Anolis sagrei: one gene and its partner. The protein of the gene in region 2 purifies or fractionates together with the protein of the main gene of each other region. This does not show direct contact. Links are inferred from orthologs where the notes say so. Each region holds a gene or a part of one and is shown on either strand. Other genes may lie near its edges.

Region 1 (10,431 bases), on a different chromosome or scaffold from region 2:
ATACTGAACCCTGCAAAACCTCACAAGACAATGGTTGTGGGGTCGAGCAGGTGTCTCCCAACAACACCTTCTGGGAATGACCCTCTAGGAAGGACTGGAGCCATTGCCAAACGGTGCCCCCAAGGCCCATTCCTGTGAGGCGTCCCAGAAGGATACCATGGTCAATGGTATCAAAGGCCGAGGAGAGGTCCAGCAAAACCAACAGGGACACACTCCCTCTGTCTAGCTCCTTGTTGTGACTCAGCTGGAACCACAGAGTCTCTGATGAGGATGATGGGACTCAGGTTCACAATGTCCCTGTTATAGACAGTGAGTTTCCCACATCCAGGAATGAGATTGTTGATACTAAAACTAGCCAGGTGCAGGTGCAGATTGATTCAGAGACGGATGACAGTTCTCAGCCTGATAATGAGCAGAAAGAGAAACAGGTTGACACTAACAAACAGACTGACCTTGACGAAACAGAAACCTTAGATGGGGCTGACCATTTGGAATTCAGAGTTCGAAGAAGTGTGAGAATAGCTAACAAGAAGGAGGTCAGAGGCCAAAGAAATGCCTTCATGTTTTGCAAAGGGTATTAAGCAGTGTGTTTGGGATCAAACCTTTGTCAGAGCAACTTTTCGTTTAACCAAGAAGCTTGCCTTTGCTTGTCTGGATTATCTTGCAGTTCTTGTGCTCATGATTTCAGGACTTAGTCATGTTCTCATGGGATTTTGCTTTGCTGGTGCCTTTTTGGGTTAAGCTTCAAAGTGCTATTTTGTATTGATCTTTTGGAACATTACCTTTGCTTTTAAGAACTTTTTACCTTTTATTTTCTAATAAACTATAAAGACTTTTGGCTGTCTGCAGTTTGGTGTTTTTCAGCAAGGTGAATCTACTCTGAGATGCAACACTCCTGGTGTAGATCATCAACTAAGGTGACCAGGCTGTCTTGGTTCCATGTCCCGGCCTAAAACCAGACTGTTATAATAGGTGTCAGACCCAGAAACAAAAGACAACATTTATGTAAATACCTTGATTACATCTCTAAAGAGGCCTTGCTTTCCTGCGGGGTTTGGATATCTCAGCTGGATATTGAGCTGGCTTCTTGAATGTTCAACCCACCAACAGTTTCCCAAGCACATTTTATATAGTTCAATTTTTTTTTAGGTGCTCAGTTCTTGCGAATATACGTATATGTGTGTCCTCTCCCCTGATTGTTCATCAATAAAGAAAAGATATGTGCAAGGGTTCTTCATCTGTGGCAGATTTGAAAAATAGTTATTTCAATACAGTTGTGCATAGTTTTCTTAACAGAGAACAGGAGAAAAGAGGGAGATTTGTCTGAGGAAGCAGATAATAGGACCACTGAGGTCTAATTTTTAATTGTATCTTAAGGAAAGACCTTTTTGTGTTTCCTGTCTGACCTGAGGGGATTTTCCTGCACAACCAGTTTTTCAGTTTGTCTCTTAGACTTGGTAAAAATAGAGGGTGCTACTTTAAGCAAGCTCAATATTTAAGTTAATTGATATATTTCACATCGATCAGTTATATCAATGAAGTAAAGGGAGTTTTGTAATAATTGTTGTGGCTCAGTCTGAGCCTGAGCTTTCTGAGCCTGAATTTCCTCAGGACGAGGAGGATGATGGATTGCAGATTTCTGAACATGTCCCTGTTGTTAATGCAGACAGTGTTGATATTGAAGACGAGGCGGCGTTTCAGTTTCCCAGGGAAAGGAATGTTGTTTTAGAAGATGGTCATGATTTGAGTGAATCTTCATAGCTGCAGGTGGAGGAGTCGACCCCTCCATCTGTGAGCTCAGTGCCTGTCGATTCCCAGGCTGGCCAGTCCCAGGATAATGAGTTATTCGGCCTTGAAGGTGATGGGGATTTGGTTAGGGAGGACCGTTTGCAATTAAGGGTTCGCCAAAGTGCTCAGCTTGCTAACAAATGGGAGGGTCAAGGTCAACGTAATGCTTTCATGCTAGGGAAGGATATTTAAAGATCTGATTGAAGTCAACCCTTTGTCAGTGCAACTTTGCTTACACCCTGTTAACTTCTCTGGAATTGCCTCGGTTTTTGGGGAGAGCTTTTGGCTCTTTGGGACTTTAGTTTTGAACTTGGTTTCTGGGGACTCTGTCATGCTGCCATAGATTCTTGTTTGACCAGTGCTTGTGGATTATACTTCATGTTATTTGCCTTTGGACCTTGGAAACTCTGCCTTTGCATTTAAGACTCTGTTTGGCTATTGAACTTTTGCAACCTTTTTTCTATGTATATGATTTTGCTTTTTCTTCAGTAAACTACAAAACCTACAGCCTTGGTGTGTGGTGATGTTCTGAGCAAGGTGAATCTATCCTGAGTTGTGACAATAATAGTCATTTATAAATCATTCATCAGTACTTTTCTGGGGATTTACGTAGAAGGCCCGGAAAAATCACATCTTGGGTTGTTGTAGGTTTTCCGGGCTATATGGCCATGTTCTAGAGGCATTTTCTCCTGACATTTTGCCTGCATCTATGGCAAGCATCCTCAGAGGTAGTGAGGTCTGTTGGAAGTAGGAAAAATGGGTTAATATACCTGTGGAAATACCAGGGTGGGACAAAGGACTTTTGTCTGCTGGAGCTAGGTGTGAATGTTTCAACTGACTACGTTGATTAGCATTTAATGGCTTGGAAGTCCCTGGGGGAATCTGTCTTTGAGAGGTGATTTGATGTGCCTGATTGTTTACTCTCTGTTGTTTTGCTGTTGTAATTTTTGAGTTTTTTAATCACATCTTCCTTCCCAAAATCTCTTCTTTTGTTAATATGGCACATATATTTTTTGCTGACATGTAGGCCTAAGACTGACACAGCTGCATACTCATAGAAAATAGGTTGTGGAAAAAGATCAAGCTGAGTAACAGATAGGCTTTTTCTATTAATCTCAGTAAGCAGTTTATTAGTCTAGGGTAAAATTCAGCTTTTTTAAAAAAACAGTTTTATAAATTGGGAAGTGAAGCCCATATCAAGCCCTTCTTTGCTATTGCAACAAAGACTGTTCTGCATTTCAAAGGTTTTGTTTGTCACAGGATGAAGTACAGCAGTTCAGCTGTCTTTTATGCTCTTAGTATAAACTTGCAGCAATATACCAGATTGATATGTACATGAAAAACAGTCTGACACCGAACCACAAAATTGTTGCAGGGAGTTTGCCTACATACATGTAAACATATACTTGCATAATTATTTTAATGTATTGTCGAAGGCTTTCATGGCCGGCATCACAGGGTTGATGTAGGGTTTTTTTTCAGGATATATGGCCATGTTCCAGAGGCATTCTCTCCTGACGTTTTGCCTGCATCTATGGCAAGTATCCTCAGAGGTAGTGAGGTCTGTTGGAACTAGGAAAATGTATATCTGTGGAATGACCAGGGTGGGACAAAGGACTCTTGTCTGCTGGAGCTAGGTGTGAGGACCTCACTACCTCTGAGGATGCTTGCCATAGATGCAGGTGAAACGTCAGGAGAGAATGCCTCTAGACCATGGCCATATAGCCCGAAAAAACCTATAACAACCCATTATTATTTTGTTAGAGCCTTCCATATTAAAAGGAGCATTTCCTAGATTTCTGTAAATGTTATTTGCAGCAGGTGATCTTAGTCTTTGTTGCAACAATAAATTAGAATTGCAAGTTTCATGTAAAATAATATAAAGGTAAAGGTTTCTCCTGACATTAAGTCTAGCCATGTCTGACTCTAGGGCAGTGGTTCTCAACCTGTGGGTCCCCAGATGTTTTGGCCTTCAATTCCCAGAAATCCTACCAGCTGGTAAACTGGCTGGGATTTCTGGGAGTTGTAGGCCAAAACACCTGGGGACCCGACTGCTCATTGGAGGGAAGGATAGTAGAGGCCAAGATGAAGTACTAGGTTCTTGTGGATTTTTTCGGGCTATAGGGCCATGTTCTAGAGCATTTCTTCTGACGTTTCGCCTGCATCTATGGCAAGCATCCTCAGAGGTAGTGAGGTCTGTTGGAATTAGGACAATGGGTTTATATATCTGTTGAATGGCTGGGGTGGGGCAAAGAGCTCTTCTCTGCTGGAGCTAGGTGTGAATGTTTCAACTGACCACCTTCATTAGCATCTGAAGGTCTGGCTGAGCCTGGGAAAATCCCCTGTTGAGAGGTGTTAAGATGTGCCTGGTTGTTTCCTCTCTGCTGTTTTGCTGTTGTAATTTTAGAGTTTTTTAATACTGGTAGCCAGATTTTGTTCATTTCCATGGTCTCTTCCTTTCTGTTGAAATTGTCCACATGCTTGTGGATTTCAATGGCTTCTCTGTGTAGTCTGACATGGTGGTTGTTGGAGTGGTCCAGCATTTCTGTGTTCTCAAATAATATGCTGTGTCCAGGCTGGTTCATCAGGTGCTCTGCTATGGCTGACTTCTCTGGTTGAAGTAGTCTGCAGTGCCTTTCATGTTCCTTGATTCATGTTTTGGCAATGCTGTGTTTGGTGGTCCCTATGTAGACTTGTCCCCAGATGAAGTACTTTGGCCACATCATGAGAAGAAAGGAAAGCTTAGAGAAGACAAAGATGCTGGGGAAAATGGAGGGGAAAAGGAAGAGGGGCCGACCAAGGGCAAGATGGATGGATGGTATCCTTGAAATGACTGGATTGACCTTGAAGGAGCTGGGGGTGGTGACGGCTGACAGGGAGCTCTGGCGTGGGCTGGTCCATGAGGTCACAAAGAGTCGAAAAACGACTGAACGAATGAATAACAAACTTCCAAGGATTTTGGTCTCTGTCTTTCCAAAGATGTGGTCCTAGATCAAAACCCCAGCAGATACCAAGGATCCACACATTTATCTCCTCTTCATTTTAAACCAAGGATGCAGCAATTTAGGGCACTCTCAAGTTTTTGAAGAAGTGCAGTTTCCATCATCGTCAGGGGTGGCTCAACCCATTACGCAAAGTAAGCATTTGAAGTATAGTTGATTTTGCTCAGGGGCGCTCATGAGGCGCTCTTGGGGGAAAATAGACCTTGACATATGTGAGTTGTAGTTACTGGGATGTATAGTTCACCTACAATCAAAGAGCATTTTGAACTCCACCAATGATGGAATTAAACCAAATATGGCACACAGAACTCCCACGACGAACAGAAAATATATATCAGTGATAGGTGGTGGTGGTGGTGGGGGGGGGGGGGGAAATACTGTTTAATGTATTGTCGAAGGCTTTCATGGCCGGAATCACTGGGTTGTTGTAGTTATTTTCGGGCGGTATCATGGGAGTTCTGTGTGGGAAATCTGGCCCATTCTATCGTTGGTGGGGTTCAGAATGCTCTCTGATTGTTGGTGAACTATAAATCCCAGCAACTACAACTTCCAAATGTCAAGGTCTATTTTCCCCAAACTCCACCAGTGTTCACATTTGGGCATATTGAGTATTCGTGCCAAGCTTAGTCTAGATCTATCATTGTTTGAGTCCACAGTGCTTTCTGGAGATAGGTGAACTACAACTCCCAAGCTCAAGGCCAATGCTCGCCTACCCCTTTCATTATTTTTTGCATGGTGTGTGCCAAGTTTGGGTCAATTCCATCTCTAATGAAATTCAGAATGCTCTTTGATTGTAGGTGAAATATAAATCCCAGCAACTACGACTCCCAAGGTCTAGAGAATGAAAATACATCCTGCCTATCAGATGTTTACATGTTGATTCATAACAGCAGCAAAATTCCAGTTATGAAGGAGCAACGAAAATAATTTTAGGGTTGGGGGTCACCACAACATGAGGAACTGTATTAAGGGGTCGCAGCCTTAAGAAGGTTGAGAACCACTGGTCTAGAGGCATTCTCTCCTGACGTTCCACCTGCATCTATGGCAAGCATCCTCAGAGGTAGTGAGAGGTAGTGAGGATCCTCACTACCTCTGAGGATGTTTGCCATAGATGCAGGCGAAACGTCAGGAGAGAATGCCTCTAGACCATGGCCATACAGCCCGAAAAAACCTACAACATCCCAAAATACTGTTTGCTTCCCGTTGAAAATTACCTAGGGCCGCCTCTGAATGCAGTCAATGCTCAGGGGGGCTACAAGACAATACCAGGGAGAGGTCACAGAGTCTTTGGGCTGAACTCATGCACTTGGAGGCTACTTTTAACTACAACTCCCTCGATTCCAGGGCATACACTGGGGCCAGATTGCATTCATTCATTCTCATTGGATGACGTCACTCACGGAGGCGGCCTATCACTTCCTCTCCCTCACTAGGAGGAAACAGAGCGCGCGGATTTCCAGCTCCCGCCTCCTCTCGCACGCCGTTGGTAGATGCCGACAGAGTGACGTCGCAGGTGGCCAATCAGTGGCGTCATCCCCGTCACGTGCGCCGCTGCCGCCGCTCGCGCTCCTGCCTCGCCACGCCTCCTTTTCCATCCCCTCGTTGGCAACGAGAGCCTGGCAAAAGGTAAACAGGTGATGGGCTTGAATTTGGGGCTGGGGTGGAATTGTGAGGAGGCTGAAGGTTAATTTCTCCTCTCAGGTATTAGTATTATTATCATTATTTCGACAACTACAACTTCTCAGCGAGGCTCTTCAGGCGCCAGCTTCCCAGTGAGGTGCTGCTCTGTTTCCCACAAAGACTGCCATCTCCTGAGGTAAACTTGAAGAAAGTTGTTTTGAGTACTTGATTGACAGACTGTTCAGAATGACTGCTTTGTTATTTTTGCTTTACTGTTTTTTTTAAATCACAATAAACAACACAAAATCTCATTGGAGAAAGGGAAAATGCTATTTTGATGTACATTTTAATTGGGAGCATGTGAAACGACCAGGCTCCTTCTATACTGCCATATAAAATCCAGATTTTCTGTTTTGAACTGGATTATATAAATCTACACTGCCATTACTTACTTTACTTACTTACTTAGGCAATCCCTCATCTTTTTTAATCGTGTCAGGAGCGACTTGAGAAACTGCAAGTCGCTTCTGGTATGAGAGAATTGGCCGTCTGCAAGGATGTTGCCCAGGGGATGCCCGGATGATATGATGTTTTTATCACCCTTGTGGGAGGCTTCTCTCATGTCCCTGCATGAGGAGCTGGAGCTGATAGAGAGAACTCATCCACCTCTCCCCGGATTCAAACCTGCGACCTGTCGGTCTTCAGTCCTGCCGGCACAGGGGTTTAACCCACTGCGCCACCGGGGGATCCACGATCCCTCATTGGCCGAGTAGGATAGTCTTCTATGATCAGTATTCTTGTGGATCCGTCTGTGACTGTGGAGCCCTATTCTTGACCTGCATCTTCTCCTGCAGTGAGGGCATTGGTTTCCCAGTGGAAGGCGGTCTCGGTCAGGGTTGGCTTGATGCGCCTTCCTCTTGGCACATTTCTCTCTTTCACCCTCCATTTTTGCCTCTTCAAATTCTGCAGCACTGCTGGTCACAGCTTACCTCTAGCTGGAGCGCTCAAGGGCCAGGGCTTCCCAGTTCTCAGTGTCTATGTCGGAGTTTTTAAGGTTGGCTTTGAACCCATCTTTAAATCTCTTTTCTTGTCCTCCAACATTCCGTTTTCCGTTCTTGAGTTCGGAGTAGAGCAACTGCTTTGGGATACGGTGGTCAGGCATCCGAACAATGTGGCTGGTCCATCAGAGTTGATTTATTTATTTATTTATTGTGTCATCAGCAACCATACCATTGTATTACATTTCTAACAGAACAAAACAAACAAACAGATAGAAAAAGCACAAATTTTGCAACTTGGTAGTTGATTAAATGTCCTTTGACCAGTATTTAGCTTCTTGGAGTGCCTCTGGTGTTGCAGCAAGAAGGTCCTCCATTGTGCATGTGGCAGGGCTCAGGTTGCATTGCAGCAGGTGATCAGTGGTTTGCTCTTCTCCGCACTCGCATGTCATGGATTCCACTTTGTAGCCCCATTTCTTAAGATTGGCTCTGCATCTCGTGGTGCCAGAGCGCAGTCTGTTCAGTGCCTTCCACGTCACCCAGTCTTCTGTGTGCCCAGGAGGGAGTCTCTCATCTGGTGTCACCCACGGATTGAGGTGCTGGGTTTGAGCCTGCCATTTTTGGACTTTCGCTTGCTGAGGTGTTCCAGCAAGTGTCTCTGTAGATCTTAGGAAACTATTTCTTGATTTGAGTCGTTGACATGCTGGCTGATACCCAAACAAGGGGTGAGCTGGAGATGTCGCTGCCCTGGTCCTTTCACTATTGGCTGCTACTTCCCAGCAGATGTCAGGTGGTGCGGAGTTGATGGCGGAGGACCATCGCTTCAATGCTGGTGCTCTTTGCTTCTTCCAGCACACTGACGTTTGTCTGCTTGTCTTCCCCAGAGATTTGCATGATTTTTCAGAGACAGCACTGATGGAATTGTTCCAGGAGTTGCATGTGACGTCTGTAGACAGTCCACATTTCGTAGGCGTATAGCAGGGTTGGGAGGACAATAGCTCTATAAACAAGCACCTTGGTATCCCTACAGATGTCCCTACCATATAATCCAGTTCAGAGCAGATAACCTGGATTTTAAATGTCAGGGTAGAACAATACAATAATTAAAATGAAGAACAATTTCAACAAAAATAAAATTATTAGTATTTCAGTGGGAAGTGTGGGCCTACTTTTGGCTGATGAGAGGATTTTTGTTATTGTTGTGTGCTTTCAAGTTATTTCAGACGTAGGTTGACTCTGAACGAGGGCCGGGTAAATGACCTTGGAGGGCCACATCTGGCCCCCGGGCCTTAGTTTCAGGACCCTTGTTCTAAGGACAGTCTCTCCTGAGGTTTCACCTACATATATGGTCAGCATCCTCAGCCATAGATGCAGGCAAAACGTCAGGAGAGAATGCCTCTAGAACATGGTCAAATAGCCTGAAAAAACCTAGAACAACCCAGTGATCCCAGCCATGAAAGCCTTCGACAATACAAAGTTTATTATTATTATTATTATTATGGGAACCCCTGGTGGCACAGTGCGTTAAACCGCTGAGCTGTTGAACTTTTGTAATTTGTCTTTTTTAATATATTTGTTTTGCTTTAACCATTTTTTAGATTGTAAGTGTGACTGATATTATGTACATTGTTTCCTCTTGTTGTAAGCTGCCCCGAGTCCCCTTGGGAAAAGGGATATAAATAAAGCATTATTATTATTATTATTATTATTATTATTATTTCTAACCTAAAATTGATCATACTTGCAAGAATGTGATTTTTAAAGGCAGATATCAAAAGGGAAATGTACCTGATATGTCTTGTATCAACAGTGTGTTTGTTGAAGTATAACTTTAGCTTCACTCACTCACTCACTTTCAGTACAACTTATCCATTCTTTTTTAAGTTGAGAAAAATCTGATTCAGTACAACTAATTGAACATTATGGTTCACTAAAACAGTGGTTCCCAAACTTTGGTCCTCAGTGGTTTTGGGCTCCAACTCTCAGAAGTTCGAGCCAGCTTCCCAGCTGTTAGGAATAGTGGGAGCTGGACCTGGAGGACAAAAAGTTGGGACCCACCATACTAAATAATTGGTTCCAGTACATCAGTCCAGAAAACTGTAGATTTGTGTATATTTTTCCATGGAAAGCTTTCTGTTTTGGTTAATATAGATACAGTATCTATTTTAACCCTTATAGATACCAAAATTCATTGATGATCAGGGTCCATGTGGCATATTGTATAAAATAGTAAAATCAAGTTTCTTTTGGTGGATTTTTTCATTTTTGGAATATTAGCAAGCCATGAATGGTTGAATTGTGGATACCGAATACCTGATATGGAGGGTGTTGAGTGCATAGCTAATCCCCACAATCCTGGATAATTTCTAGACAGGATGTACTGTGCAGATATTCTGTCTTTCTCTTGAATGTTTTTTCTGTAGTAAGGAAAAGCATGCAAGAAGCAGTGGAAGAATAAGGGAGGATTACTAGTGAAGAACATGAATGCACTTAAAGGCCTCATAAAAGTAGGTGAATGAGGCAAGGCAATGGTGTTGTAAAAGCCTTGTCTACAATTGCTCACTGACTTTTATTGTAGTTTTCAAAGAAGTAAGTGTGCTTGTCTCTCACAGCATAAAAAAAGAACTAAGAAGGGGGAGGAAATATGTGACAGCACCTTTAATACTAATCTGTGGACTTCATTTGATTTTAAATTTAATTGATTTTAAAGTGGAGATAACTGATTTTAGTGTTTATATCTATAGTTTATTGTATGTACCAGCATTGAATGTTTGCAGTATATGTTGTTATCCGCCCTGAGTCCCATTCTGAGTGAGAAGGATGGAATATAAATGCTTTAAATAAATAAATAAATAATAAATTAATTAATGTCTATGTTTCTCCAAATGAAATAGTTTGCTGTTTGTAATTCTTCTGTGTTTTTCTGAATGGGTTTGACACAAAAATTGGCTCAAAGAGTCTGCAAGTGTCTATTGCCTTGTGGCACCAATGGTGCATCGACAGTGTAAAATTAATGCTGTTTG
Region 2 (10,829 bases):
AAAATTGAGAAACACTGAGCTAGAGGGTTGTTCCCTTTTGTAAATTTCAAGATCAAAATCACACTACAGGACCTAGAGATTCCTAGATTGAACAAACCTGTGAATAATCAAATTTGCAAATCCGCAAGGGCAGATGAGTGGCTATACATAAGCAACAGCAAGGGGAAAAAAAGATAAGAGAGAATCTGCTCCTGGTCTTGTTTTTGCAGAGAGTCTTCGGCTACCACTTCTCTCTACAAAAACAAGACCAGGAGCCGATTGTGACGCAAGATCCTAAACTATTATTACTACTACTGTCTGCAATTAAGGAACTCTAAAATCAATATCATGACAAAACATAAATTCTTTATAGAATTTAACATTCCTATGAAAAATCCATTCGCGTCTGGACAACTGGGAGCCAGAGAAACCCTTGAAACAACACAAGGAGGAATGCAAAAAAGGCAGCCAAATGCAAGGTGAGTTTCAGCCAAACAGCAAAGAACAAATGAGAGGAAACCAAGAGAACAATGACAATAAACCCAGGCAGAGATATAAGAGATCTATTCTGCAAGCTTTCAAGAAATCAAAAGGGAAATGTGAAACAAATGGCAGGGTTGCTACAAGACACCTCAGGATCCGAAAGAAATAAAATCATGATGGGATCAAAACACATTGAAGGCCCTGTCTCTCATCCCCGCCAATTTGAAGATGAAACCACAATTTCGAAAAACAAAGTTTGTAGCTGCAGTTCAATCACTTGGGTGTAATAAATAATCCGAAACAGGCAGCTTACAAACCAATAGAGAAAGAATAGACTCTCGTTCTAACAAGAGAGATCACAGTTCAAAGGAGACACTCTTCTTTTTTAGCGAGGTGAGAACGGACATTTATTTCTTTTCCTCAACAACCAAACTTTCCTGTTGGAAGTCCAAATCAACATCTACTTCAGTGACAAGTCTGTTTTGGATTCAGGATGGGCTTTAGCAGAGTTGGTAAATCACCAGCAATAATAAGATCTACCAACTGAAAGGTTGCCAGTTCAAAGCCCTGAGTCGGCATGAGCTCCCAACTGTCAGCCCAGGTTACTGTTTACCTAAGCAGTTCAAAAACAGCTTGAGCTGTAAGTAGAGAAATTAGGTAGCGCTAAAACAAGAAGGGGAGGTATTTGACAACACCATAAAGAAAAAGATCAGAAATCCCAAACGGAATTTAATGTTTGCTGTGTATGTGTACTGTGATCCGCCCTGAGTCCCCTTGCGGAGATAGGGTGGAATATAAAAATATGTAAATGAATCTTTTTACTCAGACCTGTTCTGGCAGATTTCCATCTTGTATCAGTTTTCTTTCCAATCACAGAAAAGCAAGGTGAGATCGAATTACGAAGCTAAAATAAATGAATTATAACTCTTTGGCGAGGCCAGCCTTTGCCACCAAGTTTCCCAATGGGTTTATTTTTATGAAAATCTCTTTTCAAACTCCAGTTGCGTGAAATGATTTTTCAAAAAGTACTCAAAATAAATAAATTTACTCCATTTGTCTCAAAGAGAACCATAATAACAACTATATGCTCAATACAAGGATAAGATTTTTGTGTGTATATATATGATCTATAGTACATATCTAGATGATATATAAACATATAGATTATATATATATATGATCTATCTACATATGCATACACTAACACACACATATATGTATGTATGTGTGCATATATAATGGCCCAGGACATACATTAATATTAATAATATATAATAAAATACTATTAAAATACTATTATTATTGTTATACAAATATAACATAGCATGTGAATATATAGAATATGTATAAAATATAGTTATATATAATAATATAAATAATCATATAATAATAAAATGAAATACAATTATTATTATTTAAATATAGCATGTGAGTATAGCAGGGCTTGCAAGACATATTTGTTTCGACAGGCCTTTGATCTTTGATATGTTGTTTACTTTGTGTTAGATTTTAGTTTGTTCTTGTAAGCCACTCCGAGCCCTAGGGGAGTGGCGGCATATAAATTTGAAATATAAATAAATAAAATATAATGAAATACAATTTATATATATAGTGTATACAATATATAATCATATAATAATATATAATATAATATATAATAAAATACAATTATTATTTAAATATAGCGTATGTGTATATAAGGTATAATATGTATAATATTAATATATATAGTGTATAAAATATATAATAATATATAATATATATAATAAAATACAATTATTATTTAAATATAGCATGTGTATATATAGTATATACAATATATAATATAATCCTATAATAATATATAAAAATACAATTACTATAAAAATACAATTACTATTTAAATATAGCATGTGTGTATATAAAATATAATGTGTATAATATTAATATATAGTGTATATAATATATAATAATATATAATATAGATAATAAAATACAAATATTATTTAAATATAGTGTATGTGTATATAAAATATAATATGTATAATATTAATAGATATTAATAGTGTAAACAATATATAATAATATACAATTATTATTATTTAACTATAGTGTATGTGTATGTAAAATATAATACGTATAGTATTAATATATATAGTGTATATAATACATAATAATGTAAATAATCATATAATATATATAATAAAATATAATTATTTAAATATAGCATGTGTATAAATAAAATATAAAATGTGTAATATTAATATATATAGTGTATATAATATATAATATAAATAATCATATATATATAATATGTAATAAAATATAATTATTATTTAAATATAGCATGTGTGTATATAAAATATAATATGTACAATATTAATATGTAGTGTATACAATATATAATATAATCCTATAATATATAAAATTACAATTACTATTTAAGTATAGCATGTGTGTGTATATAAAATATAATATGTATAATATTTATATAGTGCATATAATATAATCATATAATACAGTGGTTCTCAACCTAGGGTCCCCAGATGTTTTTGGCCTTCAACTCCCAGAAATCCCAACAGCTGGTAAACTGGCTGGGATTTCTGGGAGTTGTAGGCCAAAAACATCTGGAGACCCCAGGTTGAGAACCACTGATATAATATATATAATAAAATACAATTATTATTTAAATATAGCGTATGTGTATGTAAAATATAATATATAATATTATTATATATAGTGTAAACAATATATAATAATATACAATTATTATTAACTATAGTGTATGTGTATGTAAAATATAATACGTATAATATTAATATATATAGTGTATATAATACATAATAATATAAATAATCATATAATATATAAAATAAAATATTATTATTATTTAAATATAGCATGTGTGTATATATAAAATATAATATGTATAATATTTATATATAGTGTACACAATATACAATAATATATAATATATATAATATTAATATATAGCGTATACAATATATAATATATCCTATAATAATATATAATATGAAAATACAATTACTATTTAAATATAGCATATGTGTATATATAAAATATAAAATGTATAATACTAAGATATAGTGTACACAATATATAATATAAAGTATATATAATAAAATACAAATATTATTTAAATATAGCATGTGTGTATATATAAAATATAATATGTATAATATTAATATATAGTGTATACAATATATCATATAATCATATATAATATATAAAAATACAATTACTATTTAAATATAGCATGTGTGTATATATAATATGTGTAATATTTTATATTATATTTTATATTATATAATATATATAATATTAATATATAGTGTATACAATATATAATATAATGGTATAATAATATATAATATATAAAAATACAATTACTATTTAAATATAGCATGTGTGCATATATAAAATATAAAATGTATAATATTAATATATATAGTGTAAACAATACATAATATACAATTATTATTATTATTTAACTATAGTGTATGTGTATGTAAAATATAATACGTGTAATATTAATATATATATTGTATATAATATATAATATGTATAATATTAATATATATAGTGTACACAATATATAATAATATATAATATATAGTGTATACAATATATAATATGTATATTTATAGCGTATACAATATATAATATATCCTATAATATATGATATATAAAAATACAATTACTATTTAAATACAGCATGTGTGTATATATATAATATACTATGTATAATATTAATATATAGTATATATTCTCATATGTATAAACAGACTGATGAATACTCTATATTTAGATGATAGAGAGAGAGAGAGAAACGGGTCCCAAGATGTCGCCAGGGAAACAAAAAATGCCCCTTCCTTCTCCCAAAAGGAGCATCCTCCTCAGCATCCTCCAGAGTTTGGCGCCGAAACTTCAACTCCCATCATGCCCCGGGAGGGAGCGCAAAGGCTCCTTCAATGCCGGGGCCGCGCAAGGCGCTTCTGGGAAAGCGAGTTCCCTCCCCCTCCTTCCCTCCCTCGCGAGGCCTGGGGAAGCCTTTCCCGCCCTTTTCAACGTCCTCCCTCCCTCTCGTTCTCTCCGCCGGTGGGAGCGGCCTGCTCCTCTCTCCGCGCCGGGCCTCGCGTAGTTTTTTACCTCAGGAGAAGCGCCCCGCTCTTGCTCCCGCTTGCCGCCCGCCCTCGGTTCTTCTCCTGGCCGCGGCTGGGGCCTCCGGGGGTCCGGCGGGGAAGAGGATGGAGCCGGATGCCGACTGGAGCGGCGGGGGCCGCGGAGACGGAGGCGGGGGAGAAGCAGCTAGGCCGCGGGAGGCCTGCGCCTGCACCAGACCCCGCTCTTGCCTGGCCTGCCAGGCCCGCCGCCCCACCACGCCGGCGCCGCCTCCGGTAGGAAGGAAGGAGGGGAAGGGGCGGGGAAAGGGGAAGGCTTCCTCGGCGAGGCACGCCCCTTCCCGGCCCCTGAGCGTGTGCAGAGCGCCTTCGCCTCCCTTCTCCTCCCTTACGTGGCACGTCTGTCAGGCCTGGGCCAACTTCGGCCCTCAGGAGGGTTTGGACTTCAAGTCCCACAATTCCTAACAGCCGCTAGGCTGTTAGGAATTGTGGGACTTGAAGTCCAAACCCCCCTGAGGGCCGAAGTTGGCCCAGGCCTGATACATACATACATTAATACTAATAATAATTATATATAATAATATCAATATAATATAGCATGTGTGTGAATCTATAGTATATAATGGATAATAATATAAATAGTCATATAATAATAATATATAATAAAATACAATTATTATTTAAATACAGCATGTGTGTATATATCAAATATAATATATATAATATTAATATATCCTTGTGTTGTTTAAATGTTGTGTTTTATTGCTGCTATGTTATTTATTATGGTTTTTTATTGTATTGTCGAAGGCTTTCATGGCCTGAATCGCTGGGTTGTTGTAGGTTTTTTTCAGGCTATATGGCCATGTTCTAGACAGAGGCATTCTCTCCTGACGTTTCGCCTGCATCTATGGCAAGCATCCTCACTACCTCTGAACGCAACCTCTTACGAGAGAGAATTCACACCATCCGCAAAGAACTCGCAAACACAGACAAGGAACTGCTGCACCTCCATATCAACATCAGCCAGAAGGACCTCACTACCTCTGAGGATTCTTGCCATAGATGCAGGCAAAACGTCAGGAGAGAATGCCGCTAGAACATGGCCATATAGCCCGAAAAAACCCTACAACAACCCTGTATTTTTTGTTTTGTTTTGTTTTATTGCTGTGTTGGTTTATACTGATGTATTGTATTGTCGGGCTTGGACTCATGTAAGCTGCCCTGAGTCCCCTTGGGGAGATGGTGGCGGGGTATAAATAGAGTTTATTATTATTATTATTACTATTATTATTATTATTATGCTGGTTGCATAATAGACCTGTGAGCAGCCTATGATACTGTGAACCACCGCCTCCTCCTTAGAAAAATGTATAATATCACAAAGGACGACCACCTCACCCACCTCATAGGAAACGTGCTACAAAACAGGAGCTTTTTTGTTGAGTTCCAGGGCTAGAGAAGCAGATGGCGGAAACAGAAGAACGGCCTGCCTCAGGGGAGCGTGCTCGCTCCATCCATGTTCAACATCTACACAAATGACCAGCCACTGCCAGAAGGGACAGAGAGTTTCATCTATGCTGATGATCGTGCCATTACTGCTCAAGCAGGGAGCTTTGAGACGGTGGAACAGAAGCTCTCCGAAGCTCTAGGTGCTCTCACTGCCTATTACAGGGGAAACCAGCGGATCCCCAACCCATCTAAAACACAGACATGTGCCTTTCATCTTAAGAACAGACAAGCATCCCGAGCTCTGAGGATTACCTGGGAAGGAATCCCACTGGAGCATTGCAGCGCACCCAAGTACCTGGGAGTCACTCTGGACCGTGCTCTGACCTACAAGAAGCATTGCCTGAACATCAAGCAAAAAGTGGATGCTAGAAACAATATCATACAAAAGCTGACTGGCACAACCTGGGGATCACAACCAGATACAGTGAAGACATCTGCCCTTGTGCTGTGCTACTGTGCTGCTGAGTATGCATGCCCAATGTGGAACACATCTCACCATGCTAAAACAGTGGATGTGGCTCTTAATGAGACATGCCGCATAATCACGGGGTGTCTGTGCCCCACACCACTGGAGAAATTACACTGCTTAGCCGGTATTGCACCACCTGACATCCACTGGGAAGTAGCAGCCAATAGTGAAAGGACCAAGGCAGAGACATCTCCAGCTCATCCCCTGTTTGGGTATCAGCCAGCATGCCAACGACTTAAATCTAGACATAGTTTTCTAAGATCTACAGAGACACTCGCTGGAACACCTCAGCAAGTGAGAGTCCAAAAGTGGCAGGCTCAAACCATGGCTGATACCAAATGAGAGACTCCCCCCTGGGCACACAGAAAAGTGGGTGACTTGGAAGGCGCTGAACAGACTGTGCTCTGGCACCACGAGATGCAGACCCAACCTTCAGGAATGGGGCTACAAAGTGGAATCCTCGACATGCGAGTGCAGAGAAGAGCAAATCACTGACCACCTGCTGCAATGCAACCTGAGCCCTGACACATGCACAATGGAGGACCTTCTTGCAGCAACACCGGAAGCACTCCAAGTGGCTAGATACTGGTCAAAGGACATTTAACCAACTACCAAACTCACAAGTTGTGTATTTTTCTGTCTGTTTGCTTTGTTCTGTTAGAAATGTAATATATAATAGACTGGTTGCTCTGACACGACAAATAAATAAATAAGTCCAGTCATGTCTGGCTCTGGGACTCTGGTGCTCATCTCCACTTCTAAGCCAAAGAGCCAGCGTTGTCCGTAGACACCTGCAAGGTCATGTGGCCGGCATGACTACATCTACAAATATATACAAACATTAAAACAGAATTAAATATCAACGGTATTTTAAACATCATAATTACATTTCATAGAAACATTCAAAGTCCATCCTTGTTGTGGAATGAGAGAGATTTTAGTCTATGGAAGCTTTTCCAGGAGACTTTCAGTTATTCAAAACTCTCAAGCAACTGGAGGAAAAAAAAAGTTAAAGAAATAATATTGCATTTACAAAGCTGTTTTTGTAACAAAACCGTGACCTGACTTATCCCAGCCACGATTCCTGCCATTGCCAAATGGCTTTTTGATCATTTAAGAGTGGAATTCTGCTCCTTTGCTACTGTAGTTGTTAATAGCCTTAATGGTTATTAAGGGTTCAGCAAGAGATAAGCTCCTATTAAGTATGCATTGACTTGATACTGAGATAGTGGAATTAAAAGCAAATTAAGACAATTATATAAGATAATATACCATCTATAATATAATTTATGGTTTGTGGGATTAACAAGTCAAAAGCCACTGGACGAATTGACACCAATTTTGGACACAATACAACTGTCAGGCCAATGAGTGATCATCACTCATAAAAACACTGAAAAACATAGTGGAAGTGATTTCAAAAGCCAAAAAAAATTACATTACAACACATGCGCAAAACCAGACATATATATATATGCAAACAAACATATACACAAATATATATACACACACATATATACACACACAAAACACATATACACAGACTGTGCCACAGTAACACGTGGCAGGGGATAGCTAATAATAATAATAATAATAATAATAATAATAATAATAATAAATTCTACTACTAATAATAGATGCATAGCTACTTTGAGTATCCTTCCGGAGAGAAACAGGCGGGTATAAATAATAATAATAATAATAAGAAGAAGAAGAAGAAGAAGTGGTGATCGGCACACTGAGTGCAGTGCCTAAAGACCTTGGCCTGCACTTAAACACAATCGGCGCTGACAAAATTACAGTCTGCCAACTGCAAGAGGCCACCTTACTGGGATCTGCACGCATTATTCGCCGATACATCACACAGTCCTAGACGTGTGATCCAATACAACAGCCAGCAGAGTGTCTGCTGTGGACTCATCTTGTGTTTCAAATAATAATATTAATAATAATAACTATTTACTCAAATCTAACACTCATCTGGTTTAGCTAAATTACCTCTCCAAAATTAGGATTTGCATCGTGCAGTCATAAATACACATAATAATAATAATAATATCCCAATCTTATCCGTTATTCAAAATTTCTTAAATTTTGGGTGGGTGCCTAATACAAAATAGTTACATACAGGTATTCCATTCCACAACTCTTGGGTTCCCATTTTTCCTAGTCCTTACATATATATTTGTTTGACTAAAAGCCAAATTTCTATGTCTCGAGTATTAGAGCCAAATTTAATTAGTGACATTTGGCCATTTCAAAAACTCTTTTAGTGATCTAATCAAAATCACTCACCGTTACCGTTTTTTAGAGTCCATGTTTGTAGACTCTCCCAGACAATTTATCACCCCACCCCAATTTATTAAACCTAATGGGGAAGCCTTCTGGGTTAGCATCCCACTCCCCACAATAATGTGATGACCCATTTCTGAGCTTGAGTATCCAAATTGCAAATGCAAATGACAAGACGATTGTGATCCTTTCCCCTTTTCTTGTCTCAATAGAAAAATGTAAACTTTGTTTACTGCCCGACGACTGGCTTGGCTGTGGGAGAAAAGCCTTCCGACTTTGCTGGCTGGGCCTTCCCGTTTCCGGGAGTGTTTTTGTTGGAAGACTTCATCACCGCAGAGGAAGAATGGCACATGGTTGCTCTTATGGACCAAAACCCTTGGAAGCTGTCGCAGTCCGGCCGAAAAAAGCAGGTCTGGTCTTCTCATTGAATGTTTCCCACTATCTAGGGCAGTGTTTCTCAACCTGGGGGTCGGGACCCCTGGAGGGGTCGCGAAGGGGTGTCAGAGGGGTTGCCAAAGACCATCAGAAAACACAGTATTTTCTGTTGGTCATGGGGGGTCTCTTGTGTGGGAAGTTTGGCTCAATTCTATCATTATTGGGGTTCAGAACGCTCCTTGATTGTAGGTGAACTATAAATCCCAGCAAGTACAACTCCCAAATCTCAAGGTCTATTTTCCCAAAACCCCACGAGTGTTCACATTTGGGCATATGGAGTATCCATGCCAAGTTTGGTCCAGATCCATCATTGTTGGAGTCTACAGTGCTCTCTGGATATAGACGAAGTTCAATTCCCAAACTCAAGATCAATGCCCACCACACTCTTCCAGAATTTGTTGTTGGTCATGGGAGCTCTGTGTCCCAAGTTTGGTTCAATTCCATCATTGGTGGAGTTCAGAATGCTCTTTGATATTGTAGGTGAACTATAAATCCCAGCAACTACAACTCCCAAATGACAAAATCAATCCTCCCCTCAACCCCACCAGTATTCAAATTTGGGCGTATCGAGTATTTGTGCCAAACGAATGAAAATACATCCTGCATATTGGATATTTACAAGATGATTCCTAACAGGAACAAAATTATAGTTGTGAAGTAGCAACGAAAATAAATTGATGGTTGGGGGTCACCACAACATAAGGAACCATATTAAGGGGTCATGGCATTAGGAAGGTTGAGAACCACTGATCTAGGGACCATCCTTTAAAATTGTAACATCCATGAAAACATGTATGTGCATTCGCTGGTGGATGTCTTGCCCTATTTGGGTTATAAATGTCATTATTTCCTAATTGATTCTGTCATAAAAACTTGGGAAAACGTTTATTAAGCTGCAAAGCTTTGTTTTTTTGTGACATCTTGTTATAGCACATTATATTATATTATTAGAATTATAATATCAAAATATCTGAATTTAAGCTATTCAGCCAGAAATGGAAAAAAATAGCACAGGATAATATATTTTAACAAATGGTAGATTTGCGTGAAGCCCAAAGGTATGGATCAACGACAAGTCGGATAAAGGAATAAAGGAAAAGCAATAATTATATTATAATTATATTTAGTATAATAACATTATAATTGTATAATTATAATTATATTTTATTATAGTATATTATAGTATTTATAATATTATAATATATTGTTTTATAATTAAATTTATTATTATACTATATTATTATTGTATTATATTATTATAATTATATTACACTACTAACCGTCCCCTGCCATGCGTTGCTGTGGCCCACATGGGGTTTGTGTGGGAGGGTTGATTGTAGGTGAACTATAAATCCCAGAAACTACAATTCCCAAATGACAAAATCATTTTTTTTGAGTGAAGAACATACATTGGGTTGTTAGGTGTCTTGTGTTCAAATTTGATGTCAATTCATCCAGTGGTTTTTGAGTTCTGTTAATCCCACAAACGAACATTACATTTTTATTTATATAGATATAACATGGGTTTTGTTCCTGAGCTA

Evidence for each region.
Region 1: the proteins of LRWD1 (region 2) and ORC5 purify together in Homo sapiens (affinity purification with mass spectrometry; 4 studies listed by BioGRID and IntAct, with this or other methods). This does not show direct contact. The link is inferred for Anolis sagrei from reciprocal best matches to the Homo sapiens genes LRWD1 and ORC5.

Annotation. Positions count from the first base shown.
Region 1 is NC_090025.1:84,684,261-84,694,691, forward strand, and holds the start of ORC5 (origin recognition complex subunit 5), read left to right. Parts: upstream 1-6,328; 5' UTR 6,329-6,416; intron 6,417-6,422; exon of another isoform or gene 6,423-6,606; intron 6,607-9,831; exon of another isoform or gene 9,832-9,915; intron 9,916-10,431. UniProt on the Homo sapiens protein: Component of the origin recognition complex (ORC) that binds origins of replication. DNA-binding is ATP-dependent. The specific DNA sequences that define origins of replication have not been identified yet.
Region 2 is NC_090031.1:24,210,535-24,221,363, reverse strand, and holds the start of LRWD1 (leucine-rich repeat and WD repeat-containing protein 1), read right to left. Parts: upstream 4,701-10,829; 5' UTR 4,612-4,700; intron 1-4,611. Other genes in the region: ALKBH4 (alpha-ketoglutarate-dependent dioxygenase alkB homolog 4), read left to right, coding at 4,710-4,859, 9,066-9,263. UniProt on the Homo sapiens protein: Required for G1/S transition. Recruits and stabilizes the origin recognition complex (ORC) onto chromatin during G1 to establish pre-replication complex (preRC) and to heterochromatic sites in post-replicated cells.